Linked DNA regions of Mytilus edulis. The protein of the gene in region 3 purifies or fractionates together with the protein of the main gene of each other region. This does not show direct contact. Links are inferred from orthologs where the notes say so. Each region holds a gene or a part of one and is shown on either strand. Other genes may lie near its edges.

Region 1 (10,714 bases), on a different chromosome or scaffold from region 3:
AACTTGACGATATACGGAATCTCCAAAGCGAACAAAAATGTTATCAAGTAAAAATTCAAGTGCATAAATAGTATCAAAGCATGTCCAATTGACATAGTTCTTTTGTTTATTGCTACTAAAAAATGATCTAAAAGAGTTTGAACATATGTACTCGCATTCCGACTTTTTAAATGCCCAGTTAATTAGGGATGTGAATTTTTTCTTAATAAGAATATGAGGCAAAGTGGTATATAGGGTAGAAAAATCAAAACTTTGAACAGATTCAAAATCACCAATATATGCATGCAATTTATCAAGTACTTCCAACGAGTTTTTGACACTCCAAAAGTAATTAATTCCACTATTTTCAAAGGCCTTATTTGAACAATTTATTATCAGGTTTTTTATTGTACCAAGTGTACTAGTAAGTAAAACAGACAATTTAGTAGTTGAACAATGGCTGGAAGATGAAATAAATCTATATTTGTAAGGTTTTTTGTGCAGCTTCGGAAGCCAGTACATAGTTGGGACTTTCATTGTGTTTGGTTCTGCTTGTAAAGAAGTAGCTAAAAGTTTATGTTTGTTACAGATGTCGTTTTCTGAAAATGAAGTCAGTTGGAATGTTGGTGAATTCGTGATTTCCTTTTGCAGAACCTCTATATAAAATTTACGTCAAACAATAATGATATTATTAGCAGCTTTATCAGCCGGGACAAAAACAAATTCCTTGGCTAGTTCTGTTAGTTTATTTTTGATACGCGAAATAGGGTTTTTATAGTTTTTGTTGAGGGTAAAATGTTCTTTAAAATGTTGTATTCGAATATCAACTATCTTCATTACTGAATTAAAAAAAGAGTCCAAAGATTTTTTGTCAGCTTTTTCCCGTTTTACCCATTTCAAACAGTAGGCGCGGAGTGAGTCGTTGATGATATTACGACACTCATTCCAGTTAATAGTTGACGGGGGACGATATTTAGGTCCTTTACTGAGGAATGATTTTAACTCTCGGTCGCGAACGATGTTAAGGTCTCCTGTTATAACATGGGAAATTGGTCCATAGGTGTATTCTGAATTACTGCAATTACACGACATAGGTGTATTTTCAGTGATATTTACATCTTTACACAATTGGCTATAATTAAACACATATTTTCGGGTAGATTTCTTGTAAATATAACAAATGAGAGGGAGTTCAGTATTATCAAAATATCCAGGAATTTGGTCTTTAACAGAATGGTCGTTAAAAATACCGGCAATATTTACAAAATCAAAACCTTTATTGACATACTTTATTTTAATAAAATGTTTTTTATGATCTTCAGGGCGATCAATTTTTGGAAACAGTTTAGAATAACAATATGCCATTATAATTTGGACAATTTCATACTTAGGACTGTAATATGAAATTGTGTTGCAATCCTCTAAAATTTTATTTAATTTATTTATAGGTAAAGAACAAAGCTTGGTTAACAGATAATGTCTGCCGTTATTTTTTGAAATGGAAATTAGGTCCGAAATATTTGTATGGTTGGTCCGAAATTTTCTTTGATTGCGATTTTTTCTGCGTCCATGAGAACGATTTTTACGAACAGTTTTAGAAACTATATCCAAAATGTTAACAGAATCGGTTCTTGATATATTGCCAATTCCCATGATATTATCATTAAGACCGAGAGGGTAGACTGTCTGTAATTTTTTAATCCAATTTAATTCATTTATTTTTCGTGATCGTACAAACTTGGAATGAGATTCACCAGGCTGCTTATTTACTACTTCTAAAGGTTGAACTGTTAAATATTTAATAGGATGACTGTGCTTCTTAAGATGTTGATAAATGATACTTTTGAATTTATTGGGTCTTTTAAAACGATACAGGTGTTCTTGCGTGCGTTTAGATAAATATCGCCCAGTTTCACCTACGTACTGAATACCGCATCCCGGTTTGTTTCATGTGAGTAAATAAATAATACTGTTTGTTTTTCAAGTAATATCAGTTTCAAAATTTAGAGAAAATGTGCGACCATTAAATGTGGACCTTACTGTATTGTTGGTGGAAAGACGGGGACACGTAAGTCATTTTTTGGCATGACACTTATCGATAGAAGGGTAACCACGATTTTTATTGTTAAAAACGTTAGCTATTGTAGTATTTTTAGATAAGCGATTCTGAAGATTGAGACGTGTAGATACCCTTTGAACGAGTTTAGTATTTAATATTTTTCCATTTCTAAGCTTCATATTTGTTTTTTGGTATGTAGATTTATTACAAAGGAGCAAAGACTGGCGTCCAGAATATGAACCATCACACAGTAGATTAAATTGTGTAAAAATGATAAAACTGTTCGGCTCAAGACGTCAAATGCTTATTGTCATAAGTTACCCGACAAATTTAACAAAAGATAGGGTATATCAAGGTAGCGACTGACGTCTGACTAAATAGATGAATGGGGCTGAATATTAAAATACTACTTTTTGATAGATATTCCTAAAGTAATGAACATAGAGAAGTTCTCGCTCGGACACACACTCCATAATCTAGTATAATATAAGAGCATAAACCTTAAGCACGGGGAGGCACTCTACTGTCTCCACACGGCACTAAAGACAAACTCTGTAAAAAATAAAATTGAGAAAGGAAATGGTGAATATGTCAAAGCGACAACCACCCGACCATAGAGCAAACAACAGCCGAAGGCAACCAATGGGTCTTCAATGTAGCGAAAATTCCCGCACCCGTAGGTGTCCTTCAGCTGGCCCCTAAAATATGCATAATAGTACAGTGATAATGGACGTCATACTAAACTCCGAATTATACACAAGAAACTAAAAATTAAAATCATACAAGACTAACAAAGGCCAGAGGCTCCTGACTTGGGACAGGCGCAAAATTGCGGCGGGGTTAAACTGTTTATGATTGCATTTTATTAACAACGATTTAATTATGTCAACATGTGGCAAACAATTTTAGCAGCAAAATTCAATTGATTAATATGTTATTGGAGTATTCGATCTTGTAAAAGCCGATCGCCCTGGAGGTTGATAAAAATGGGTGTCAAAGCAGACCTCGGCAGAGAGCAAATTCTAATTTTGATATAACATTGAGGGATAAATTTTAATGGGCGCCGATCTCGTAAAAGCAGATCGCCCAGCAGAGCCGGTTATATAATATGATGAAAACTTGTTTTGTAAAAGAAATTATTTCCTCAAAAGACAAAAGTTTGAGCGTTTTTTGTAAATAATGTTGATGATAGACCATTCATGAAATACGATGTCATCATTATGGAACTATTTCAAAAGTTTTGAAGATGATCCAAATAATTTTAAAGAACACTGGTTCAATGCTTTAAATATCTTATCAATTAATTATATGAACTTTTGTAATCTGAATTCAACAATTTACCAGTTCAATTTGAAATCCATTTGAATCAAGGTAAATTTATAGAAATGACCTGCTGTTGAAAAAATACCCGATGAATGATTTTTGTCAGTGGTTTATGTTAGCTGGAATATATGTCTTTTTTATAGGCCTAGGTAACTATAGCTAAGATGATAGACTAGTGCATCATGTTCAATGATATTCATGTAATAACAGTAGCCCATCCAGAATTATTCAAAATGTTACAACTTACATGAACATCAGTGTACAGGTTAAACCTAATAATATACATTTTCCGTTTTGACAGGAAAATAATGTTATTTCGTCTTAGATGTTATGCTTAAAAAATTCCCAATTAGAATAAAAATTCCCAATTTGATGTTCCAGGGACCCATTTGAAAACACCTGGAATCATCCCTGGATTGGTATGCAAGTACAAGATGCAGCTACTGTATTCGAAGCTTAGGTTTGACCAGTCTTGTATAGGTTTTTGTTGAACTATTTTCTAAATTGACCTTTAGATTTCTCTTGACAAAGTTTAGATGTACATTTTTTTTAGTTCCCTAATTTATTACGAGACACCAACATATTTTCAATTCATCCCAAGTTTCGCACAGCAAATTTTTGAATTATCCTCAGCATGGAGTCCAGCATGAATTGAATACTTGAAGCTGCTTCTGTGAGATTGAGGCAACACCACCTGCAATGTGTTCAGCCACAGCCGAGTGAAGATCAGTACGTGCCCTTGTCTGGACTAGACTCAATTGACTATTGCTAATAATATGTCAGTGGTTTAGAATTTTATTTCCCTCTCTAAAAAATATTGAAATGTGTCCATAAGATGAATGGAGCAATGCATGGACTGTACAGTAACACTGTCATGACTGTGCAAATGCCAATGGCAAAAATATCTTTGAGACTTTGAATGAAAATGTCTAGTTTTTTTGTGTGCTTCTCTTTTTTTTTTTATATACATGGACTTTCAACTTCCTGATAGACATTTCTACTGTTAAATAACATTTACCAAAGATTCTTGTGATGGAATGTTGGGAAACATATGGTTTTCCATGCTTCACAAGTTGCCAAAACTTTTGTTTTGCTGGCCATGTGTTCTATGTTTCAATTTGTGTGCCTGACGTCATCAATACGTGTGTACACACTGGGGAAAAACGAAAGTGTACAAGTGCCCGAAGAAAATCTTAAAAGTAAGGATAAACAGTATTTAGAAAATATGACATTTGATAAGTTATACCAATTGACATATAATCTATGCAACAAAAGCCAAATCATAATGTTAACATTGACAGTTCATGAAAAATCTCCCGAAATGGCAATTACTGGTAAATTATCTCCCCCTACACAAGTAAATAGAGATAGCTTGGTGAAGAAAATAGGAAATAAGATTATAAGTTTAAGTATGATACACTTAATAGATTTTATGTCATTTAGATATAAGACTATAATAAGCTTGAAGTATTCAAGATATCCTTTATGGTGACAATATATATTATTTTACAAATACAATGTGTAACCGGAGAGCACGAATTTCATTACAAAATTGCTTGTCTCCACCGGGACTCGAACCCGGTACCTCTGTGTTACAAGGCAGCGCTCTAACCGACTGAGCTAAAGAAGTACTTCCTTAGCTCAACCGCTTACGGCTGACTAAGTATCTACTAAGTTTTTCTAAGGGAAGCAATCCCGTCACACTTCCCCCACCTCAAGAGTCATTATACTCTATAATGATGATATTTTCATCTTTTTTTATATTTATATTTTAACCTGGCTAGGTAATTCTTCTAACCGTGGGTTATTCTTGTTGGGCGCCAATGTAACCGGAGAGCACGAATTTCATTACAAAATTGCTTGTCTCCACCGGGACTCGAACCCGGTACCTCTGTGTTACAAGGCAGCGCTCTAACCGACTGAGCTAAAGAAGTACTTCCTTAGCTCAACCGCTTACGGCTGACTAAGTATCTACTAAGTTTTTCTAAGGGAAGCAATCCCGTCAAAAAATTTATATTTGTGTTTTAGTTACAATGTATATTTAGTCATGGAGTAGAGGTAATACTTGTATTTTCCCGCGGTTCGTATAGTAAAGCGGGAAAATATTGTATTGTCGTTACGTTTTCATAAATATTCATAAGGCATGACAAAATTGACCAATCAGAAGTTGAATTTTGTCTTTCGATATATTGGTGTTTTTCAAGCGCTTCACTTTCTAGCCGTCGTTCAACATAGTAAGCTCCTTTATCTTTAATTGCTGATTGCAATTAAAGTTGTTTTTTCTGATTTTGTATTTGTATATGTATTTGCTAATTAAAGGTGTGGTCCGCCACTTTTATCCGGAGATAGGCTCGAGCATTGGCACGGATACAGGTTTCCATTCATATTCATATATCATGTGAACGATTGTTGGTTTTTCCTGGACGGCCTTGACTATCTATGAAGGGTAACATTCAGAAATTTAAGCGAATACACTGTGGATACATTGATATTTGAAATATTGTATATATGTTTTAATATTTGTTAAAATGTGTACTGCTGGAAATTATTTGAGATACAAATTAAATACGGCGTCTATCACGTTCGACGGGCTGTCGATGAAATATGAGACAGAAACATTTATTAGAACAAACCCAACTGGAAAAGACCAAGGATTTGTATAGTAATATACAAATCCTTGAAAAGACTCAATACAACTTAAAGAACAGTTTGTTATTATGCAAAGTAATATTAAATATATATATATATATATATAACTGGCACCTAATATCAATAGGTTGTATAAATATTATATGCATGTTATACAATAGTCCGAGATTACCGGCTGTTTTGCCAGACAAGCTGGGGCTGTGGCAAAACAGCCGTTGGACGTCAGAGTAATCAGTAATTCAGTATGATTAATTGACGATTTTTTCATGTGAGAAGGTAACTCAAAAGTGGTCTGTTAACAGATTGGGACCCCCCCCCCCCAAATAAGAGATATACCTTTTAGAGGGGATGTCCCTCAGAATTATATGCCCCTTTATGATATTATTTACCAGATAGAGGGGATTGCCTGTGTCCCTGCACTGTAAATTTTCATCAAGTGTCCGAGTAGCTGAGGAACCGTAACTCTTAAGGTCCTTTTTTATTTTGCGAAAGCTGCAGAACCGTAACTCTTAAGGTCCTTTTTTATTTATTTTTAATTTTGCGGAACATCTATGGGACCTAAGAGCTAGGGTTCCGCAGCTAGTGTCTGAGTGATTGTCCTTGTGCAGGAAAAATAGAAATTCAGAAAAGGGGATCAGTTTGCTGTGATAAAAGAAAGAAAAAAACAGCTTTTCAACTTAAAAATGGGAAAATTCATTATATTTAGAACAAGGGGGGTCCTCTTATTTTTAATACATTGTACTAAAAAAGTCTTGGTATATATATATATATACCAAAAATCTTGGACATGTTTTGACAATATAATACCAGATAGATGTATAGTTCTTTTGGGAAAATTTTGCAAATAATAAGTCTAATTTTTTCGTGAAAAAAGATGGTTAGGCCACACCAATTTAATTCCTTGTTCGACGGACCAGCCCGCACCTATTTTTTTCTAAATAGAAAATAGAAATTATTTATTTTTTTAATATTCTAGCTTCACACATCCGGAAATGTAATCATGTCTATTTCCCTCTTCATACATCTCATATTTTTGAAAAATATTATAAAATAGAAAAACTTAAAATATTTAACTTAAAATGGGGAGAAATACATCATATTTGATACAATTTTTTTTTTTAAAAGGGGTCCACTTATATTGAAAAATATATAAGAAAATGATATATGTTAAAGTCCAGGAATATTACAAATTTCTTGGACATGTTTTGACCATTTAATACCAGAATTATATTTACCTAAAAAAAATAATAATTGCTCGCCTTTACTTTTCAAGCATTGCAAGAAATTAAATTGGTGTGTCCTTATGAATATCTGACAATTTATAAGGATATACTGACCTTGATATTCAGTGATTTTCCTACCTTTTTTCAAATGGGGCCTTGGCCTTAGGTAATTGGGAAAATGTCACATAATGTGTGAATTGGGAAAAAATAAATCATTGTTTTCATCCTAGTTTAAAGAGCTTATTTCTTAAAATTCCAATTTTTTATCATGACCAAATTTTAACATATAATTTTCTTTTCTTGGTTCATTTTAATACATATCATCAGGGTTTTTCATAAGAATGATAAACTTGATTAAATTTGGAATTTTCAGTGTTCATTTTGGGAAAAAAATATGGTTTTTCTAATTGGGAATGGGGCCTATATTCGTACCCAAAATAAAGGCAGGAAAATCACTGATATTATAGGATTTCAGAAGTAACAGGGAGAAACTGTATTATCCTTTTTCAGGTCTTAATTAGGTCCTTGCATAATTTTTCTATTACCATAATACATATTATATGTGTATCATTTCAAAAGTGCATGATATAACTTTATACACCTCCCAAAATTTAACACTTAAGTAAATGATTTTTTAAAACAAACAGTTACATTTATGAGAAATTTTATTGGATAAATAGATAAACAAAACATAATATTTATTAACTTGTAAGGAGGAAAAAATCCACATTACAGAAGAAAATCTTTTAATAGTAGAAAAAACATAAGTATGTTTCTTTTTCATTTTCAGACAGTTAAAACAATGGATGTTCAGCACATAGTGTTACAGTTTTTGCTGTGGGCCAATTGGGGTCTGAACTTGGTTTATTGTGAACATCTACTTCAAACCTTAACAGCTACGATTGGTGCAGAAAATTATACACATTACAGACTAAGTACTCAGGGACGTCTTCACATTACATTAGAATCAATAGTAGGGGATGCTGACTTATACATATCTGATAATACTTTATCTCCAAACTTTGAAGATTATGTTATACAATCAAACACCTGTGGGATGGAAGAAGTAGAAATCCCAAGTACTATGAAACGACCAGTAGGTATAGGAATCTATGGTCATCCTAATTATAAAATGTCCGAATACAGATTGTCAATATACTTCTTAAAACAGTATGATGATGCAAACTACGCACAATTAGTTCATTCATATAACAAATTAGATGGAGAAGATAATAATGAAGAAGGATACCAAGCATATGATTACTCATCATCACAGTATAGTGCAGGGACTCAGCAGGAAGAGGGAGAATCGGCTTGGTCTGTTATTGGTACCATTCTATCCACTATTTTGAAAATCATCTTTGAAATCTTATTATAACGTCAGTGAATATATTATTTGGTAGTATGATACACATAAGTTCTAATGCTTTTTTTGGCCCTGTGTGTAAAAATTATAAAGATCGGGAGGGTCTTGACGGTTGAATATAGTAATCCTTTAGTAATATGGTTGCATGAATCAATAGTTAAAATACATTTAAAGGTTTCTGAGACATGAATAGTTTTACCTTTTGATAGAAGATTTTTTAAATGGTGAAGGATATTTATATTAAATTGCCAGAAATATGTTGTGTGATAAGAAGTTATTATGAACAGATAAAGATAAAAAATTATATTTTTACTATTTGTAATCATGGCAATAATCATCAATAATGTATTAAAGACAATATACATGCACTTAAAATTATAATTACAAAAAAAATGTAATTACAAAATTAAATAACAGAAAAAATAAATTAAATTTCATTTGTATCTAATTTACAATTTATAGAAAAATTACAATAGCTTTAATTTTGATAGGAATAAAAGAGGACGTAAGGTGTATGTCAGTGAGGCAAATGTCTACACAATATTACAAATTCTCTCATGAGTCTTTTCAAATTGTGAATGAATTGAAAAGAAACATATAAAGTTCTGCAATTATCACCACCAAATTCTCCAAATAATGCAAAGCGTTGAGATACAGAGTCTGATTAAGCCTGATTTACAGGGGATGTCTGGGTCTTCTTTATGGAGATACATTTGTGGTTAATGAAAGTGTTTTGTCTGTTCTAATCCCCTCACTCAAAATCCTGGATCCGCACCTGAGATTTGTAAAACATCAACTAGGGACAATAGACGTATTTACACTTGTATGCAAATTTGTCCGCCATTACGTAAAATCACACAGGTACATTGTACCCGTAAACTTTGACATCATAATTTAAAATATTTGACGTCACAATTTAAAAGTGATTGTTGCTTGACGTCAAATGGTGATTCAGAGTCGATCTAAGGTCATTCAGAGGCAAGATACAGCTAAATACTAAATGTGTAAATACGTTTATATTCCGGACAGTGACTTGTCATTTGATTGGGTCATGAATTAGCATCATTTTCAACAACAAAAATGCATACATTTGTTAGGTGGAGTTCTCTTTTATTTTAAGATAAGGTTGCTGCTTTATGCTAATTTTGTAACATTATGAAAAAACATTTTTTTATTTATATCTTTGTATTAACATTATATTGAAAAAGTTGTGTAAATGTATGCAGCATCCGAATCATTACATTCCTACAGCATAATGTTCATGTAGGCTTTCAGCAATTAAAGCAAATTAAATAGATATGTTGATCAAGTGTCATTTTATCTTCATACATTTATATATTGATATACATTTTGTACCTCAGAATAAAAAAGGATTGTCATGACTGTAAGTTTTGTTTAAAATAGAAATTGATCATGAGTAACACTGTTGTTGTGATAGGCCCAGAATAAGTACTTGTGTTTAGAGTTTTTCTTATTACCCTGTTTTAAAAGCCTCAAGTTCATATGCACAAATTCTTGTTTTAATTAGCATAGTATCCAATTATAGTTTTGTAATGTAACAGCAGTCAAGTGTATACTAATTTAAGGGGGTATTTTGATCTTGCAGTGTGATGCAATTTTTATCTCAGTTAAAGAGAGAGAGAGCGAGCCTCACTGTGAGATGAAAAATAGCATTAAAGTGCTATAATTCTGTTTGTATTTTGTTGAACATGTTGAAGTGCATGTAGGAATTTTGTATTATGAAAAAATACATCTAAAGCCTTCTTTGCCATTATTTTATATTTAAAAGAATTGTATACATGTAGTTGAGCTTGTTAGAGTGAAGAAATGAAACTGAAAATATGTTTGAACATTGTAGTGGACTATATGTAATAAGTTTTAAATGAAAACTAATAATGTTAAGAAACATATGTTTGTTTAATAATGAAGAATAAGTGTACAATTATTAAATTTAAAAAATGGCATATCATTATAAACTGTGGCTTTGGCAAAGAGATTTACTTTTTTTTTTTTTTTCAAATGTACATCAAAATTTTGATAGTTCCAGTTTTGATGTTCATATCTAAGGTACAAGGATTAAGGGAAGCCTGTATTTGATAATGTGGATATGATATA
Region 2 (10,714 bases), on a different chromosome or scaffold from region 3:
GTAACTTTTTGGGGCCCTTTAAAGCTTGCTGTTTGGTGAACAAGCCAAGGCTCTGTGTTGAAGACTGTACCTTGACCTATAATGGTTTGCTTTTTATAAATTGTTACTTGGATGGAAAGTTGTCTCATTGGCACTCATACCACATCTTCCTATATCTATTTAATTATTTTAACACATTGTGACTTGGATGGATAGTTATCTCATTAGTCATTGGCAATCATACCACATCTTCATGTTCATAATTTACAAATCAATATGACTGTTCACTAATTCAGAATACGTTTGTACACACGTAGTTATAATTATATACATGTACATGTAAATGCGTTCTTACAGAAATCAAATCAAACAGAGCAGCTTGTCCATCCTCTTGTAAGAACTTGTCATCCCAGGAGCTAACCTCCTCTGTAGAATGTTTCATCCTATTATCGTCATCCTCTGGGGGGAGGGGATCATCCTTATGATAGGTACACCATGTGATGATCTTTTTCAACGTACCAGAATTGATTGTCTTGATGGTTAGTGGTTTGTCATCATTCAGTAACTCTGTAATTAGAAAATATACTCTGAAAGATCATTTAGTTTGCTTGAATTTGCTTGATTGCTGATAGCTTGGTTAAGTACAGTGCCAATTATTTGATTCATATTCAAGACAAGAATAAATAACATCTTAAAATAAGAATGTGTCCTAAGTACACAGATGCCCCATCCACACTATTACTTTCTATGTTCATTGGACCATGAAAATGGGTAAAATCTTTAATTTGACAGTAAAATTAGAAAGATCATATCATTAGGAACATGTGTACTAAGTTTCAAGTTGATTGGACTTCAACTTCATCAAAAACTACCTCAACCAAAAAACTTTAACCTAAAGCGCGGGACAGACGGACGACATAGGGATGGACAGACGAATGAACGAACGGACTACATACGGATGGACAGACGAATGAACGAAGGGACGACAAATGGATGGACAAACAAACGAACAAATGGATAGACAGACGCACAGACCAAAAAAAAACATAATGCCCTTTAATGGGGCATAACAATCAGTCTTCAAATCTGGATTAGGATTGAACTGCAAATTTGTAAATGAGGTATGTTTAATAACAGCAGGAATTTTGCCTTGCAACAGGTCACCTATTGATCCCCAAAGAGGTTTTGCAAAGATCCATATTTACTTTTCTATTGACTTCTTTGAGTTGTTTTTTTTTCTAAATTAATCTGAACTTACCCTGTAATACTGGTACTAATTTACCAAACTTCTTAGCTATATCCAAATCAATTTCAAATACTTCTTTCTCATAAGTTTCCAACTTTATTTGAGGCACTGAAATAAAAAAATAAAAAAAAAACATTCTTAAACATATTAAATATATAGATCTATATAGGTTATTATCATGAATAATAGTAGAAGGTTTATTTACAGTAGTTATAAATGTATAAATTGAAGAGATAAGGAGAAAAAATGTCAATATAATATATCATCATGATCATATTGTATTGCAATACAAATCTGATGGAACAAGATTTAAGTTATTTCTGCATCAGACTAGATCATCAGACTAGATCATGACTTATTGACTGACAAAAAAGTGTTATTGGACCAAAGTTGAATTACATACACAAAAAAAAAAAAAAAAAAAATCTGATAACTTTTTCAGTATTAATACAAAAAAGAGACATCCAAAAAAATGTAAGTAAAAAAAATAATTCTATAACATCATGAACATGGGATCTACTCTTTAAATATAAGTAAAATGAAAGAATTTTGAAGGTTTTTTTATAGAAAATAATTATATCCATTAATACAAAATCACCACGATCACCAGTTAATTTCACAACACAAACTTGTGCATTATTGATACATTAAGCTGATGTTTGAAAATTTTGTAGGCAATTGTACATTTATATTGCACCTCTATTGGGTTACTGAGGATTCATAAACTTGTATCTACAAAATTAAAAGTTCAACAATTTATGCAAATTTTCTTTTGGCTTGTAATGCAGAATTTGGCAAAACCACAAAATGAAATATAGATCTAAAAAATACAATCTTTCCATGAAAATAAAGGTATCCACAGTACATTAGAAATGTGCAGTATGTATCAACAATTTCTAAACAGAACTCCAATGTCGCTGCAAAAAATATGATTATACTTGTCACCAACAATAATTATAGGTAATACACTGCAAAGTTATGGATCTTCTGTATTTATATTTCTCTGGTTGCCTAACCATTTTTCTTATAAATTGAAATTTAAAGTCCGAAAATATATGTTACATGTACATGTATACATAAAGGAAATATTTTCAAAAAGTACAAATTTACAGCTTGTAAAAAACTTTCCTTGCTTTACATAGAGATTAATACATGGCCTTTTCCATATCAGCCTGGGTATCATCCCGAGACCCCCATATCAGCCCGAGACGGAGTCAAGGTGCTGATATGGGTCGAGGGATGATACCCAGGCTGATATGGAAAAGGCCATGTATTAATCGCTTTATCATATACTTCCGACAATAGTTTTATGTATAAGGCAAATAAACTAAAATGCAATAACTAAAACAGTCAAACACTTTATAAAGAAAATTAAAATTATGAATCAAAATATACTATAGTTGTCCAACAACAGCATCATTAACTCCTTATATATTTATGGTAACATTTCCTATAGAGGCATTTTGAAACATTGAAAATTTGGAAGAGTTTTACGATCATTACTACTCCATGTTTGTTGTTCTATAAAATGATTCATAATTGTCAATGGCATTTGTTAGCAAGTATTAAACTACCCACACAAAAGTTCCCGTAAATTTTGACGTCGTCATAAAAAACATCTGACGTCACAATGGAAAAGTAAACAACCGATACCGGAAACACTGGAAGTAACTTGCAGGAGAGGCTCTATTATGGGTTTTGTGCACGAGATGCACCTGATATGGGCTATCAGCCCGGGTGGGAAATTATGGCTTGTGTACTTCCGCTCATTACACATATGCAAATGCTATCATATCAATGCTAAGTAAAAATGTACATGATAAATAATTATTACAATTGACACATATGGTAACCACACTTGATAAACATATATATGTCCCTGTCTCCTTGCTTAGCATGTACAAGCAGTTAAATATAAGCAATGAATCTAGTCATTTCATACCATAACCATTTTGTACCATTAACAATGATATTTTGCAATTAATAAAGCCATTTCATACCAGATGGGCCAACTGTTACGTATACCATTTGTATCAGATATACATATAAATGTAAATATATACATGTATAATACTTACCAATTTTCTTGTACATTTTGTAAGATCTAGATATTTTGAAAAAAACACAGCCAGTTTGGTGATTTTAACAGATTTAAATTAAATACTTTAAGGTAATTAATGTTTAAGTACGTAAATTGCTGAATACCTTGATCTCACAGAATTTTATGAAATTTTGAAACAAAAAGAGCACATAAACATAGAAAAATAATGCCTTGATACTTTATGATATATATGTAAAGCAAATTTAATCATTGTTAATCAGTCAAGGATGTAACTTAAACAAGTTATCAGAGAAAAATAACACGCATGTGTTATAACAGACACTATCATGAGTTGTCTACTCTTTTTTTCCTAAATCTGTAGTAACATATGTTTGTTATCAGTTAAATATATCATAAATATTTTATCTTTTGCAGGCTCTTGGGAATTCTTGAAACTTTGCGCAGTTGATAACTAATTTTCTAATTCCATTAATACAATTTTGACCAACCATAGTAAATCAATGAGACAAGGCCTTTTAGGGAAAATTAAGCTGTAATATGTTACAAGGCTTAGTTATTACAGGCATGTAACTTATCATATGAGAGTAAATGAGACACTTGGGAATTACTTGGAATCTTGGGCAGTGCCTCATTACAAGTTCTGATCATCATTTCTTACAATGAATTGAAATACATTGTGATATATTTCTGAGCAAAGGCTTTAAAGAGATGTAGAGAAGCTGTAATAACACCCTTTGGTTATTGCAGGAATATATTTTCTGTAATAACATAGGTGTGCTGACTATGCATGACTGGAAAACTATGAACTGCTATATCTTTGCAAAGTTTAGTATACATAAAGAAAATTATAATATCAATAGAACTTGTGAAAAATTTAACAAAATAAAGTTTGTATATAACTGTTATTAACATGTATAATGTCCCTTTGAAACATGTAACATACAAATGTTATTATGGTATTTTGATATTTAAGACCACAAAAACGACATGTTTGTTATTTTTCTCTAATAACTTATTTTAGTTACACCCTTGACTGTTAATATTTATTAAAAAAATCAGAGTAAAAATGTAAAAAAAAATGTAAAGAATACACTTTCACATTAACAGTGTCAAAAAAGTAAAAATGTATGTTCATTATTATACGTAGGAACAATTTAAAAATTTTATTTTATCATGTTTATACCTCCCTTTTAAAACTAAAATAAACATAACTCTAACATTCTAACAACTTTACAGACTAAATGGACTAGCTGAATTGCCAGTATTGCTATACATAGCACTTGCAGCATTGAGCAGATCCAGCTTCATACACAATGGGTATTTATGGTTATAAATATATAATAATTTAACAAAATAGTTAATTCTTCTTCTTCTTCCAAGTAACAGTAAGGAACCGAATTCATATTGAATCAGAATCAATGTGGATTAATATGGATTGAAATTGAGGTACTTACCTTCAAAAATTCTTGCCCAAATTAACTTAACGGTTATTTTTGGTGCATGACGATAAAATGTACACTTTCTTTCAGACGATAAAAAAAAATAGACTTATTTTGAACGAATCTCATTAATTTTCTTCCATATTTGTTCCTATAATTATCTGAGACCTCTTATAATTCACGATAATGATATTTAGACAAATCAAGGTAAAGTTTTAATCGGTTTGATGCAAAAGATAGTAAAAAATAAACCATTTGAATCCTGACGGTAAAGCGCTCAGGGCATTATCGTCTATCCTCAAGTTCATTAGCCCCATAGGACGCAATTACGACTGGACACAATTACGAACGATTTCCAATGTTTGCCCTCTGAGATCATATTCCTTTATATTTAACAATAAATGTTTTTATAAATAAAAATCCTATTAAAATTCCCTTGTTTTCATGATAATACAATTTATGTGCACTTGGTGAAATGTTGATTACGATGACAAAATCATTCTGAAAATATTATAAGAACGGCAATCTGGCCTGAAAGTTTTATAAAAAAAACCATAAAGGTAAGTGCATATTGCCTTCTTTTGTTAATATATAGAAAGAAAAAGATCTCCTGATTCTGTTCATGTGCATGATGCCTTTTATCTTGCCCAAATAACCCCACAATTGACTTTTTTAGACGCTTTTGACCCTATTTATGGTCAAAAGAAAATATGTTAATTTTATTGAAAAGTCCAGAAAACTCCGAAAAAAATGTTGACCTATATAAAAAAAAATCATAGATGAATAATAAATACACCACCGAAATGGATAAACTTGAATTTAGTGCTCCTTTAAAGGAGAAACTTATACAAAAAAAAAAAAAAATCAGAAATCTTTCCTTTACACATGACCGACATTTCGTCTGCAACCACTGCTGAAGTAATTGAAGTAAAAAACAAACTTGTGCATCTTATTTTCCTATGAAAATGTGTTTGAGATAAAGGTTAATGTATGCTTTATCAATCTAGACTATTGTCATTGATTTCTTCTGCAAGATATATCAATATAGTGCTGTTCGGAATTGCGTCCATATGTGGCTCTCTTGACACGTAAAACGAGGTCACGCAAATCTTACTAAAGTATCCTAACGTGAATAAAAATTTATGTGGGATATGATGCAAAATGGAAAGCCTTCATACATCTTAAATTCTATGGTATAAAAAATTATAAAAAAGAAAAGTAGTCTACATAAAAAAATATTAATCATAGTTCAAAAATCGTCCGGTGAGGCTAATGAATTTAAAACCGTTAATTATAGACTTCTACAACTGAGTACAACATTACTATTTAAACAAAATTCACATGCTTTTAATGTAAATATTTGTAAAAGATGATGCTGATTTTTTATGTACTTTTAAATGGTAACTAATGTAAACAAAGTCAAAAAGTGCCTGACTATTTTTCTAAGTCAGCATGTGTAAAAAATAATCATATCACATGCAACCATTTCACATTATAAAAGATAGTGAAACTTTGATAAACTTATACTTTTTGCGTTCTGTGTCTTTCAATAAAACAAGTGTCAGCTAGCGTTTTGTCTTTTATTCAAGGGCAGTAATTCTATTTATATCGGGAATTTCGAGGTTGTTCGTCTAAATCAAGGTAGAGTACAAAACTATCCAAAAGGCAAAATAGATTATCGCCCCTTAATCACAGGAGGCGCTTATAAATTTTAGATTCAGCTCGTTTCCGATATATTTTTGTGTTGTTTCAGACGAAAGACAAAGATTTAACACCCCGTTATACACACAGAAGATCAGAGTAATGTCTTAAAATGAACTACACTGTTCTAAATTCAATTTGTTTTCCAAAATATTTACTGAATTATAGACTTGTATGCTCTTGCCAACAAATATGGCGCATTCTTTTTTGTTGACACCGTTTCTCAGACAAGTCATCTACAAATATAGACACATGTGTCATTTTATGTGAAAAGAGAATTAATTTCATTACTTCAAAAAACAATCGAACAAGATATTGATGATTTCAAAATTAAAATAGTCCCAAAAATGATATTCAATGTAGAATAAAATATATTGACTTTGCTGTCTTTAGTGTCAAAACACCAAATAAAAGTTTCCCCCTCTCAGTATCACATTACTGAGGGGGGATAGGATCTTTATGGGCACTGCAGGATCAGGTGTTTTTAAGCTCAGGATGTTGGGATTGAACCTTTCATGATATGGGAATTCTTTTTTTGATTTCGGGATGTCAGGATTTAAATTGATTAAATTCCCGACCTCAGGATTTCATGTTTTCAAACCCAGGATTCCGGGATCAGGACCTCTCCTGTCCGGCTGAATAAGTAATTTTTCTCTAAAGACTTGTAAAAAACGACAGAGAAAGGCAATTAATCAAAAGCTAGAAGATTTCAAACAGCTTTAGCTATCAAACTCTAATTATCTTTCATTGTTTTTACTTCTACCAAGCTATAATTTATCTACTTGTATTCTGTTTTAAACACATTTATAACATTTATTCCAATGAGCTTTGTAAATACAGACAGTATAAATCCATACCCGCCAACTGTCACTATTCGCGGGGGATTTCCCCCATGGAGGCTCCCAAGTGGAAATTTTGTAAGAGCAATTTTGTCCACTATTTTAAAGAAAACAATTTAACAATGGCTATGAGCTTGTTAAAGCAGGAAGAAACCAAAAAACCACATTAGAATATATTTGAAGGCCCCTTTGAAGGTTTTGTAGGACAATAAGAATCATCTTTCACGTAAAACCCCCATGGGCATTTTGAAAAGTTAGCAGGTATTTTAATCTTAAATACAATGTATATCACAATAAATCATCTAATTGCAACAACAAATTTAATTTAAATTGTGTCACTTTTACCATTCTTGAGTTATGCGTCTTTAGAATGTTATAGGCTAGTTATAAGCCTGGTACCTTTGATGATTAACATGACTATGACTAATTATTATCTTTTAGATGCCTAATATCAAGTTACAGAGTTCAGACGGAGAGATATTTGAAATTGAGGTTGAGATAGCCAGACAGTCTGTCACAATTAAAACTATGTTAGAAGGTAAACTGTTGAAGAAAAAATTGTTCCTCAGTCATATTTTGATCAGTGTACTGATAAAATCTACCATGTGTAGCGTTAAAGGCTAGCATGCATTATAAATTTGATTGAGAAAAAAAATTGTGAATAAAGCTGTAGAACAAGCACTACATAAGCAACTCTAAAAGCTCGACTTTTGTTAAAAATAGTATGAAACATGACTGAAAAAAAACTTAATTCCAGGTTACTATATATGTCATGTATGTAAAATTCATTACACAAATTTCACACATGACAAAATTTTATGTAATTGAAAAGAATTTATATAAATTGTTCCTCATCATCTAGAATGTGTCCATAATTAATTGGTATATTTATATAGCTATAGCTATGAATCATGAAATTGCAGCAACATCAGAGAACATTTTGCCAGGCCTGAGTTTTCATAAAAATATTGATACATTTATTATTAATAAAAAAATCGGTTTTAAATTGAAATTTGAAATGTTGATCAGATCAAGTTGTAATTTCTCATAATTTATTACTTTATAAACACATTTTTTATTGGAGGAAAATTTAATAAAATATAGGATTGGACTGATACATATTTATCTTCAACTGACATATTTCAAAAAATTATCCCTCAAGACACATATCTTTAAATGAAAAATGAGGGGGGGGGAGTGTATTAACACTGACATTACATTTTACAAAGATATGGTATTTTTATGCCCCTCCTATGACATGTATGATAGTAGAGGGGCATTATATTTTCTGGTCTGTGCGTCCGTCCGTCTGTTCATTCGTTCATCCATTTTTCTGTCTGCCTGTCCTGCTTCAGGGTTAAGGTTTTGGTTATGGTTTTGGATGAAACTGAAGTCCAATCAACTTGAAACTTAGTACACATGTTCTCTATGATATGATCTTTCTAATTGTAATGCCAAATTAGAGTTTATACCCCAATTTCACGGTCAACTGAACAAAGAAAATGATAGTTCGAGTGGGGCATCAATGTACTAAGGACACATTCTTGTCTATTTGTAGTCTAATGTGTATATTTATAGATCTGGGTGTTGATGAGGATGATGAAGAGCCTGTACCCTTGCCTAATGTAAATGCTGGTATCCTAAAAAAAGTTATTCAATGGTGCACATACCACAAAGACGACCCACCACCTCAGGAAGATGATGAAAACAAAGAAAAACGCACAGATGATATTTGTTCCTGGGACGCTGAATTTCTAAAAGTTGATCAAGGGACATTATTTGAATTAATATTGGTAATTTAACATTTGCATATTCAGCAGTTCTATAATCAGTCAGGGGACTTACTGAAATAAATGATTTTTAAATCACTTATTTGAGTAGCAAATTCAAAGTTTTGTCACAAATTGGGATTTTGTAGTTTTTTTCAAAATTTTAAACACATAGGTTTAAATAATATCTTTTAATTAGTAAAATTGAAAAAAATGAACTTTTTGCTTCTTTTAAGTAGCAAGGTTTATGCCTTTGATGCTATCATTTAGCTGAAAATTCTATTTTAGTTGAAATGCTATAATAATGGCTTTACATAATGAACTAATACTTTCTTAACAGATTTTTCCCAGCAGTGGGAGTATTTTTCCTGTAAAGTTCAAGGTTTTATCTTTCATATTATGTAATAAAATTGTACTGTTCGCGATAAAAATTTTACTGTTCGGGGGTGTTGAAATTAGTGGGGGTTATTAAAATAATGATACTTAAATAAGTGATTTTTGGGAAGGAAATTGAGGTATGATACTTAAACAAGTGATTTTAATGTCATTATCCTAGATTCAGTACAAGGTCATCACCTGAAATGACCTGGTCATCCTAGACAACACAGATGTTGGTTCTGATAAGTTTAGAAACATAATTAGTCCCTGGATCATTTGTATTCTATATTTAAAGCTACAATAAGATTAAATCACTTCTTCTAGTGATTAATTTGTACTACTTAAATAGGTGATTATTAAAGAAAGACAACTCTTACTTCCAACTTTTATGGAAATAATGTTACTTAAACCAGTGATTTAGAAAATTATTCATTTTAGTAAGTCCCCTGCAGGCCTGGGTCCATTACATTGCAATGTAATGCATTACATTACAATTACTTTGTGATTCTTCCATTTCAATTACAATTACAATTACATTTTTTCTCACATGTAATGCATTACATTACAATTACTTTGCCTGTGTAATGCATTACATTACAATTACTTTGCCTGTGTAATGCATTACATTACACATTACTTTTTCAATATAAAAACAAAAAGCATTTCAAAAACAGAGGTATATGTACATATGTATACAGTGTTAGGTACATAGAGTTCAAATACTGGTTAATTAATATGTCCATTGCACTTTATCATCATAAGTAGTTTAAATGTGATGCCATTAAGAGAACAGCGATCAGTTCTGTACACCTTTCTGGCGATACTTAAAAGCCTTTCTACAGGAGCTTATGTGTGGGAAATGGCTAAATACTTGATAGCTGTATTAGCCAAAGAAGAAAGGCACACTGAATTTGACTTCCATTATTCCAGTGCATTGATTGAAATTTCTTCACATGGCTCAGACAAGTAGATGTCAACATCATGTACTGCACCGTACCTGTTTCTATACCCTTTGATTGAGTAGTAGGAGGCATGAAACTGAAAAAGTCACTTTCAAGTTTCTTAGGTGGTGGTAAAAAATAAATAAATTATCATATAATTTTGTTTCTAACATTGATCACTTAATCATTAAGACATCATTAAGGATTTCAAAGGGATATAATAAATGTGTCATTAAAGGATTATCTTGTGAAATGCCTAAGGGTTCTGTGAGGACAAACATAAGTTGAGAAGATTTGATTGCAATAAAAACATTGTGATATTAAATTAGGTGAAATAACAACACAGACAGGACCCAAACC
Region 3 (11,064 bases):
GATAAAGGGTGCGCATCAAAGTTGCGCATTATGGATTAAACAGCAGGCTATTTATCACATATGCAAAACTACTGTATTTACTACTAAACATATGATAAATACAAAGAAATGCTTTCCATTCTCAATTTTATTTCATTAGGTAACGTTTTTTTCATATCAAACCAATTATTAACCAGATGCTCCGCAGGGCGTAGCTTTATACGACCGCAGAGGTTGAACCCTGAACGGTTGGGGCAAGTATGGACACAACATTCAAGCTGGATTCAGCTCTAAATTTGGATTGTGATTAAATAGTTGACACAGCATAGGTTTCTGACACAGAATGAATGTGTTCTAATGAACTTAAAATTTTTGTTTTCTCTTAGAGCAATTCACTATGCTGTTGAATATTAATCCTCTCAAAAAAATGTTTGAAGAAATTTTCTTTTTTATTTATGAAATTTCAAATGAGAAAAATTGAACCCAATTTTTTTAATCACATCCCCCTTTCCCTTATTCCAAAACTAATCTCAATTAAAATTTCTAATGGAGTTTGCAACAATAACTACTCATTTAAATACATCATAAAATATTAAGATGTAAAAAAACTGCTTGTTATCACTGAATGGTAAAGATTATTTTAATTTATCAGTTGGTAGTAAAAAGTGAATATACATTGTATATTGTATATAACAAAGATTTAAGTTGATTCTGGACAAAGAAAGATAACTCCAATTAAAAAAAAATCTTGCTATTGCACAATATTTTGCAATTAGATATTTCTTGCTTACTATTCTGGACAAAGAAAGATAACTCTAATTAAAAAAAAATTGCTATTTCACAATATTGTGCAATTAGATATTTCTTGCCATTGCGCAATACTGTGCAATTGAAAAGACTTGCTATTGCACAATACTTAATATAATAATTTTAGATCCTGATTTGGACCAACTTGAAAACTGGGCTCATAATAAAAAATCTAAGTACATTTTTGGATTCAGCATATCAAAGAACCCCAAGATTTCTATTTTTGTTAAAATCAGACTAAGTTTAATTTTGGACCCTTTGGACTTAAGTGTAGACCAATTTGAAAACAGGACCAAAAATGAAGAATATACATACACAGTTAGATTTGGTATATCAAAGAACCCCATTTATTCAATTTTTAATGAAATCAAACAAAGTTTAATTTTGGACCCCGATTTGGACCAACTTGAAAACTGGGCCAATAATCAAGAATCTAAGTACATTTTTAGATTCAGCATATCAAAGAACCTAACTGATTCATTTTTTGTCAAAATCAAACTAAGTTTAATTTTGGACCCTTTGGACCTTAATGTAGACCAATTTGAAAACGGGACCAAAAGTTAAGAATCTACATATACAGTCATGACAGTTAGTTTCGGCATATCAAAGAACCCCAATTATTCAATTTTGATGAAATCAAACAAAGTTTAATTTTGGACCCTTTGGGCCCCTTATTCTGTTGGAACCAAAACTCCCAAAATCAATACCAACCTTTCTTTTATGGTCATAAACCTTGTGTTTAAATTTCATAGATTTCTATTTACTTATACTAACGTTATGGTGCGAAAACCAAGAAAAATGCTTATTTGGGTCCCTTTTTGGCCCCTAATTCCTAAACTGTTGGGACCTAAACTCCCAAAATCAACACCAACCTTCCTTTTGTAGTCATTAACATTGTGTTTAAATTTCATTGATTTCTATTTACTTAAACTAAAGTTATTGTGCGAAAACCAAGAATAATGCTTATTTGGGCCCTTTTTTGGCCCCTAATTCCTAAACTGTTGAAACCAAAACTCCCAAAATCAATCCCAACCGTTCTTTTGTGGTCATAAACCTTGTGTCAAAATTTCATAGATTTCTATTAACTTAAAATAAAGTTATAGTGCGAAAACCAAGAAAATGCTTATTTGGGCCCTTTTTGGCCCCTAATTCCTAAAATGTTGGGACCTAAACTCCCAAAATCAATACCAACCTTCCTTTTGTGGTCATAAACCTTGTGTTAAAATTTCATAGATTTCCATTCACTTTTACTAAAGTTAGAGTGCGAAAACTAAAAGTATTCGGACGACGACGACGACGACGACGCCAACGTGATAGCAATATACGACGAAAAATTTTTCAAATTTTGCGGTCGTATAAAAATGAATTGGTATTGAGTTCCTTCCTTATATATTTTAGTAAACTGATAAATATATATTTTATTCAAAGTCTCATGCATACAAGACCGGAAAAGGAAGTAGATTTCTGCGCAGATGTGGGGATTTAAAAAAGTCTGAAAAAAAAAGTTAACAATTTTGAGTTTAGTAGAAAATTCTCACCAATTTATTCATTTTTTTTTCAATTTGTCTACCGTTATTGGGGACTTTGTCCCCATATTACATACTAGCATTATACCCGACATAAATCATTCTGACCACCAAACATTACATTATTTAATCAAATAAATGTTAAAGCATTCTTACACCATGAGTCAATATATACATTATTTAGGCAATCCATCCAAACACCAGGGACATACTCTACTACAACTTATAGGCTGCATCAAAAATGGATTAAAAATAAGCTCTTTGAAAGGAGCAGGGTTTATTCTTACTTAGAGGTCACTTCTAGCAAAAATTGTGACATTTTAATCATCCTTCGCATTGAGTACTATATTTACACAGTTATGCCTCGTTCACACGTTCATTTCATTTGAATTGAATTCGAATCTAATGCAAATTGAATTCGCTAATCGTGTTCACACACTCTTCCTTTTTAATTTGAATTGATTCGAATTAGCTAATTCCCATTATCCAATTTGCATTAGAAATGTGTTTTTGTTAATTCGAATTAAAAGTTAACGTCGTTAGGACAGTAAAGGGATAATTTTGATGTGCACATTGCAATTCAAATTAGAATTTACCGTTTGGATGTTACTGTATCGAAGGCAAATTAAGGTTCATCATAACAAACGGACATTAAAATTAGTTAATGTGAATAGAATTCGAATTACGTGTGAACACAGCATTAGAGCATCCATATAAGAAAATTAAAGATAATGTTAAGTGATAGATAAGGGTTTATACAAAATATTCGCTTATATTCCACACTGTGACTCCATGATCACCTTTTCAATATTTATCAATAACCATAAAATATTTCTAGTCATTTACCTGAGGTAATGATTTACCAGCACTTAAATTGTATATTTTCACATTGTTTGGATTAGAAACTTGCATATTAATTGCGTAAAATAATAATACAATCACACGTGCAGTTGTTTACATTTTTGTTCAAAGGGAGATAACTAATAAAGATGTATCTACAATGTGCCTATTGGTCCCGGGTACATACCGAGGTAATTATGAATTATGGTTTGTTTTTGATTCGGTTAGATGAAATAAAATAAAACATAATCTCTTGGTCAGACTACTATAACACAAAAGTAGAGTTGTCTCAGATTCTTATGAGATATGAACTCTTTATCGATTGGATAAATTACGTGCTTTTGATGGTCATTTCAATTTGGCTGATAGTTATGATTTTTCTACTCTGTACACTACACTACCACAATCTTATCAAAAAGACATTCTGTCTGTATTCCATTTAAAATATCTGGTTGTAATCATTTGCTGCAACTCATACATCTCTAATGGAAAAGGAAAATATGTTAGATATACTTACTGGAACTGTGATGAAATTATTACGGCTGTAAATTTTCTCATTGAAAATATATATTAGCGTTTAAGACAATAAAGTTAATTGACAGGTTGTATATATTCCTATGGAAATTAATTGTACCACTTTAAATATGCACCTCATGAAAAGGTACAAAAGGAAAATCATCTTCCAATAATGGAAAATTTATTTTTATTTTATTTCACAACTTGTAAGCAATGTGCATGTCAATAGTAGAATTCTAGATTTTAATGAATGTCATCTATGTATGAGTCACACAGTAAGACTGGAAAATAGTTTAATCTGGGGGTCTCGTTACCACACAATGATCATCCCTCTACCAACTTTTTTTCATAATTACAATGATTTGGTTAATTCTATCTAAAAACCGGATACCACATCCTTGTTTTTACGCTGATGTTGTTATTATAAGCACGAAAAATATGACACTATCCATGCTTCAACTATTTCATCATTGGAATCAAATTGTTCTTAAAGGCAGATACATATTATCCACTTTATTAAAGGTTATCAATTTAAAACAGCAGTATTTTTTTAACAACGGTACTGGGATATCAGTACTAACTTTGATTTTGTTTTTAAAAATTAAAACATAATGAAATATATATTGGAACTTGTTATTTGTGTACAGTTCCGCAAATTCATGATCCAATATTCTTTTGACACTGTTTACTTATATTTTTGTATCTTATACACATCTTTATATTTGTATATTCTATTTATTGAAGACCAAAAATATTGACTGTGTGCCGCACTATATAAAAAGCACCTAACTGTTCAAGTTTTAATTAGTTGCAGCCCTCAAGCTTCAATAATGTTATTGTCTAGTGTGTCTGACACGTCCGGCATCCAGATTCAATAGCTACACATATCACCTTCCACATGTTCCATTTAACCTGAGATTACTATATTGATCAGCGGTTATAGAACTAGGGATCACATTTAACTAATCACTTTGAGAATTTACCCTGTAGGTTGACTTTGCAAGTGTGTGTGTACATATCCTATAACTTATAATCGTTGTACATAAGGGAACTGATGCACGGTAATCTGTAGAGAAGCTAGATACATGTTGTAAAACCGGTATCATTCTTTTGTCGTGTGTTACATGCAGTTCTTTTCTAGTAGTTTGCAGGTACGTTGTTTAGTCGGTAATTCTGACGTAACAAGAACTACCCGTTTAACTATTTCAGTTTTTGTTGTTTTTGTTGAGTTTTTTGTTGGTTTTTTTTTTTTTACAATTTCTGTATCGATAATAAAAATCTCTCTATTATCTATAATTGAAAATGTATTGTATATTTGTCAAGGTTCACTGTATTAAATGCATCATATATAAATTGTTGCTTTCTCAGAAAGATACAAACATATGTATGATGACAAAAAGTTTTGCATCAAAATCATCAGATTATTTAAATTATTGATAAAGATACATTTTGTATCAATTAAAGAATGAATTATAAGAATTATAGATAAAGTTAAAAGAGTTAAAATTGACGTTTTATACATATTTTTTGTTGATATGTAATACATATTTCTTGGGATTGAACTTGATATTCATATGATGAAGATATAATCTTTCAATCTGTTTAATCGAAGTCTGGAGCTGGCATGTCAGTTACTGCTAGTAGTCCTTTTATTTATGTATCATTGTCAGTTTGTTTAGTTGCTTTTGTTAACTATTCTGACATCGGACTCGGACTTCTGTTAAACTGAGTTATACTGTGCGTATTGTTGCGTGTTTGTTTTTTCTACATTGGCTTAATAGAGGTATAGGGGGAGGGTTGAGATCGTTGTGTGTTTGTTTTTTTCTACATTGGCTCAGTAGAGGTATAGGGGGAGGGTTGAGATCTAAAGAAAACATGTTTAACCCAGACACATTTCTACATTGGCTCAGTAGAAGTATAGGGGGAGTGTTGAGATCTACATTGGCTCAGTAGAGGTATAGGGGGAGGGTTGAGATCTAAAGAAAACATGTTTAACCCCGACATATTTCTACATTGGCTCAGTAGAGGTATAGGGGGAGGGTTGAGATCTAAAGAAAACATGTTTAACCCCGACACATTTCTACTTTGGCTCAGTAGAGGTATAGGGGGAGGGTTGAGATCTAAAGAAAACATGTTTAACCCCGACACATTTCTACTTTGGCTCAGTAGAGGTATAGGGGGAGGGTTGAGATCTAAAGAAAACATATTTAACCCCGACACATTTCTGCGCCTGTACAAAGTCGGGAGCCTCTGGCCTATGAAATTGTTAGTTTGTATGATTTTTAATTTTAGTTTCTTGTGTATATTTCAGAGTTTATACAATACAATATTTTTATTTTCCAAATTAAAGGGCCCATTAAGAGCATAACGTGATTAATTACAACATGACATAAACATTACAGAGTAATTAAAGAAACATAAAATAATAATTCAAATGCATGAGGAAAGAATCAGTGGTCAAGGGGAGATAATTTTGATATCTTTTAAAGTATTTAAGTAAACTATTTTTTGATTTTCTAAGTTGCAGGCCTTTTTAGTTTAGTATGACCCATATGTGTTCTTCCGCCTTTGTCTGCTCTTTGGTCGGGTTGTTGTCTCTTTGACACTAAGCTTTCCCCATTTCCACTCTCAATTTTATTTTAGTCTGTTTTTAATGTATAAATCATGTTTGTTTGGCTTTTTTTATTATTAAATTCAGTGACTTTCTAATAAGACATTATGTTGGGAATCGAAAACAATGTTTTATATACACATGTATGTACAATCTGCATGCTGAGGCCTGCCTCCGGTTGTGGGATTTTTTCGCGAGGTTGAAGACGCATTGGTGTCCTTCGGCTGTTTTTTCTCTTTGATCGGGTTGTTGATCCTGTTCTCCCCACTTTCATTCTCAATTTTATGTTAACAGGATACTGTTAAGTAATTTTATGTTTTCCGACTTCGTCTCTTTTCCAGGTAACACCTGCCAAAGGATAAAGTAAAAAAAATATTAATGTAAATCAGTCGTTGATTTTGGGTTTGAATACGGGTTTGTAATACATATAATAGAAATATCTAAAGAAAAAATCTATGTCACATAAATGTTTTAATTTATTTTTCGGAAAACAAACTTTGCATTTATGGCCAATTTTGATTTACTACCTGACAACATCATATTAGAAGTTTTGAACTATTTACCTGTTAAAGAATTATGCATAGCTGGAAGGTAATGATTTGCTTAAATGCGTCCTCTCACTCACTGAACGAAGATTTGTACAGTTCTAAAGTGAGACTGTCAGAGCCTGTCCCTGTACAAATCCTTTTACTGAATGATTCAATTTCTCAAATAAAAGTGTATGGTCCAGCAAAAACTTATCAGTGTCAAGCATCACAGCTTGTTTTATTTTTAAACTATATACATATACATGCTCTTAATTGACTGTGTCAGTGCTCTAACTTGACTGTGTCAATCTGTCAATGCTCTAACTTGACTGTCAATGCTCTTACTTGACTGTCAGTGCTCTAACTTGACTGTGTCAGTGCTCTAACTTGACTTTGTCAATGCCCTAACTTGACTGTGTCAGTGCTCTAACTTCACTTTTTCTGTGATCTAACTTGACTGTCAGTGCTCTAACTTGACTATGTCAGTGCTCTTACTTGACTTTGTCAATGCCCTAACTTGACTGATTCTGTGCATAACTTCACTTTTTCTGTGATCTAACTTGACTGTGTCAATGCTCTAACTTGACTATGTCAGTGCTCTAACTTGACTGTCAGTTCTCTAACTTGACTGTGTCAGTGCTCTCACTTGACTGTGTCTGTTCTAACTTGACTGTGTCAATGCTCTAACTTGACTGTGTCTATGCTCTAATTTGACTGTGTCTATGCTCTAACTTGACTGTGTCTATGCTCTAATTTGACTGGCAATGCACAAACTTGACTGTGTCAGTGCTCCTACTTGACTGTGTCAGTGCTATTACTTGACTATGTCAGTGCTCTAACTTGATTGTGTCAGTTTTCTACCTTGATTGTGTCCGTGCTCTCACTTGACTGTGTTGATGCTCTAACTTGATTGTGTGGATGCTCTAACTTGACTGTGTAAGTGCTCTAACTTGACTGTGTCAGTGCTCTCACTTGACTGTGTCTGTTCTAACTTGACTGTGTCAATGCTTTAACTTGACTGTGTCTATGCTCTAATTTGACTGTGTCTATGCTCTAACTTGACTGTGGCAATGCCCTAACTTGACTGTGTCAGTGCTCTAACTTGACTGTGTCAGTGCTCCAACTTCACTTTTTCTGTGATCTAACTTGACTGTGTCAATGCTCTAACTTGACTATGTCAGTGCTCTAACTTGATTGTGTCAGTGCTCTAGCTTGATTGTGTCGGTGCTCTCACTTGACAGTGTTGATGCTCTAACTTGAATGTGTCAATGCTCTACTGTGTCAGTTCTATAACTTCACTTTGTCAGTGCTCTAACTTTACTTTGTCAGTGCTCTCACTTGACTATGTCAGTTCTTTAACTTCACTTTGTCAGTACTCTAAAACGACTGTGCTAATGCTCTAACTTGACTGTGTAAGTACTCTAACTTGACTGTGGCAATGCTCTAACTTGAATGTGTCAGTGCTCTAACTTCACTTTGTCAGTGCTCTAACTTCACTCTGTCTGTTCTCTAACTTGACTGTGTCAATGCTCTAACTTGACTGTGTCAGATCTTTTACTTCACTTTGTCAGTACTGCAACTGGACTGCATCGATGCTCTAATTTAACTGTGTCAGTTCTCTAACTTCACTTTGTCAGTGCTCTAACTTGACTTTGTCAGTTCTTTAACTTCACTTTGTCAGTACTCTAACTCGACTGTGCTATTGCTCTAACTTAACTGTGTTGATAACTTGACTGTGTCAGTGCTCTAACTTCACTCTGTCAGTTCTCTAACTTGACTGTGACTGTGCCAATGCTCTAACTTGACTGTGACTGTGCCAATGCTCTAACTTGACTGTGTTGATGTTCTAACTTGACTGTTTCAGTGCTCTAACTTCACTCTGTCAGTTCTCTAACTTGACTGTGTTGATGCTCTAACTTGATTGTGTCAGTTCTATAACTTCACATTGTCAGTTCTTCAATTTGACTGTTTTGATGCTCTAATTTAACTGTGTCAGTTCTCTTTCTTTCACTTTGTCAGTGCTCTAACTTCACTGTGTCAATGCTTTGACTTGACTGTGTCAGTGCTCTAACTTCACTTTGTCAGTACTCTAACTTGACCATGTCTGTGCTCTAACTTGACTGTGTCAGTTCTCTTACTTGACTGTGTCGGTGCTCTAACTTGACTGTTTCAGCGCTCTAGTAATATTTATGTTTATTTATAATTCCAAAAGACAGAAAGATTAAGTATAGTATGGAAATGCAGGTTTTATATTTTACTTTTGATATGAATTTATTGATATTTACAGAGTGTGTAGAAGATGGAGAAGGATAACCAGAGATTACACATTATGGAGACATGTAGATTTAACACCCTACAGATTAGATTTGAAAAAGACGTGGAAGGTTATCAGGTCACATTTCTCAGAATGTCTGATCAGTCTGAAACTTAGAGGAGATTTTAACAGTATGTATTGATTCTTTTTCACATAATAGTTAATTAGGCATTTTTAATGTAGGCCCTGGTATCAACCCTCAACCTTCTTGTATATGAGCCCTCAGCTTATGCCTTGTACTGTTGTGCATGATATGGGAGTCTCAAGGCAATACCCAGAGGCGGATTTAGGGGGGGGCCGCCCCCCCCCCCTTTTTGGGAAAAAATTTGGTTGCTTATATAGGGAATCATTGAAGCGTGACTGGAGTGGGCCCCCTCTTAGGTCAGTCAGTGGGCCCCCACTATGTAAATTTCTCTGGATCCATCACTGATACCAGAACTGGTATGTGAAAAGGACATTTTATGTTCTTAGAGAATGTCTTATTAGTCTGAAACTTTTATGTAAAATTCAAAAGTTTATACTAACTAAACTTCTCTGAAGTGAATTGATTAGCAATTCTAAAACTGAGAGGTTTTAACAGTAAGTATGGACTTTTCTGAATGTCTCATTTGTCTGAAAAACCTTGGACCAATAGGTATTATCATGTATTAATTTTAGGGGGGGGGAAGATAAATTTTTAAGTTATAACTGGATACTCATTTTGGCAATATGAATAGGCAAATTTACTGTTTTATGAATGTTTGATCAGTCTTGTCTTAACACTGTTAAAAAGCAAAAATATATTGCTATGGTCAATGAATATGGGTTCAGTTTCCAACTCAGAGTAGATTTACAGACTCAGTATGAAACTCACAGAAGATATTTTAATTTAGAAATTTGTTTTAATCTGTAAACATTTTTAACAGCTGAAGCTGAGAGGATTTTATAAAATCTTATATCAATCTATTATTATCTGAATGGTCTGTTTTTCCAAACTGATTTATTTTTTCCATTGTAGTGCCAATAAAGGATAAAAACCCAGTATCAGATGCCATGCTTGCTGACTTGAATGAGAGATGTCCCAATATCAGGCATATAACCTTACAAAACTGTAAACTTCAGAACCTAGAGATGAAACTTCCACCAAGTCTGACTTCTATAGAATTGTATCAGTGTTACTGGAAACCTAGATGGTTTAAACATCTCCATACCATGGTACCCAACATCAAATGTCTCATACTAGAACATACCTCAAGAGTAGATAATTTTGATTTAGACGATGTTTGTAAAATAACCGGATTAGAGTCTCTTAATTTGAATGCTTGTTACAGAATTAATGAGAAAGGGTTAGAAAAGATTGCAAAAGAACTGATTAATTTACAAACTTTAGAAATAGCACATTGTAATTGTACAGATCTCATTTTACATCACATATCACGTCATTTGACAAAGTTAGAAACTCTGAACATCAGGAATAGTAAAGTTACTGATTCAGGTATTTCTACTATAGTGTCAGGACTAAGCAATCTAAAGCATTTAAATATAAATAAATGTGATTTACTGACGCCATCTGGTTTGGAATGTCTGAAGTCTCTAAAATCATTGAAAACTTTAGTGTGTGACATTCCCCACATCACATCAACGTTAGAGACCATATTAGAAAATAATGGCTGTATTATAACAGCATTAAATCCTAACAAGCCAGGGAATATTTAAGGGCCTCTTTGTTATCTATTTGTTTTCCTGAATATGAATGAAATAATTACCACTGAACATTTTACGCAAGCAATCAATTATTGTTTTTCATTTGTTTCCAAATATATTTGACCTTTAACTGTAAAATCATCTCTTATTACTACATTTGCCTCTAAATATAAAATCTATCATATGATGCTGTTTTAAGCTGAAATTAGCCAGCATTGTTGTATTATACAATAATATGAAAAAGGATTGCTAAAAATTCTC

What was found.
Region 1: the proteins of F-box/LRR-repeat protein 12-like (region 3) and serine/threonine/tyrosine-interacting protein A-like purify together in Homo sapiens (affinity purification with mass spectrometry; 4 studies listed by BioGRID and IntAct, with this or other methods). This does not show direct contact. The link is inferred for Mytilus edulis from reciprocal best matches to the Homo sapiens genes FBXL12 and STYX.
Region 2: the proteins of F-box/LRR-repeat protein 12-like (region 3) and S-phase kinase-associated protein 1 purify together in Homo sapiens (affinity purification with western blotting; 10 studies listed by BioGRID and IntAct, with this or other methods). This does not show direct contact. The link is inferred for Mytilus edulis from reciprocal best matches to the Homo sapiens genes FBXL12 and SKP1.

The regions. Positions count from the first base shown.
Region 1 is NC_092346.1:58,811,670-58,822,383, forward strand, and holds the start of serine/threonine/tyrosine-interacting protein A-like, read right to left. Parts: upstream 4,510-10,714; 5' UTR 4,425-4,509; coding exon 4,380-4,424; intron 1-4,379. Other genes in the region: UPF0669 protein v1g209471-like, read left to right, coding at 8,036-8,611. UniProt on the Homo sapiens protein: Catalytically inactive phosphatase. Acts as a nuclear anchor for MAPK1/MAPK3 (ERK1/ERK2). Modulates cell-fate decisions and cell migration by spatiotemporal regulation of MAPK1/MAPK3 (ERK1/ERK2).
Region 2 is NC_092350.1:58,847,395-58,858,108, forward strand, and holds the start of S-phase kinase-associated protein 1, read left to right. Parts: upstream 1-6,393; 5' UTR 6,394-6,526; intron 6,527-7,707; coding exon 7,708-7,804; intron 7,805-8,844; coding exon 8,845-9,059; intron 9,060-10,714. Other genes in the region: S-phase kinase-associated protein 1-like, read right to left, coding at 335-546, 1,238-1,333, 3,304-3,319. UniProt on the Homo sapiens protein: Essential component of the SCF (SKP1-CUL1-F-box protein) ubiquitin ligase complex, which mediates the ubiquitination of proteins involved in cell cycle progression, signal transduction and transcription.
Region 3 is NC_092344.1:119,866,576-119,877,639, forward strand, and holds the start of F-box/LRR-repeat protein 12-like, read left to right. Parts: upstream 1-6,708; 5' UTR 6,709-6,784; coding exon 6,785-6,870; intron 6,871-9,093; coding exon 9,094-9,251; intron 9,252-10,117; coding exon 10,118-10,815; 3' UTR 10,816-11,064. Other genes in the region: nucleolar protein 10-like, read right to left, coding at 3,159-3,224. UniProt on the Homo sapiens protein: Substrate-recognition component of the SCF (SKP1-CUL1-F-box protein)-type E3 ubiquitin ligase complex.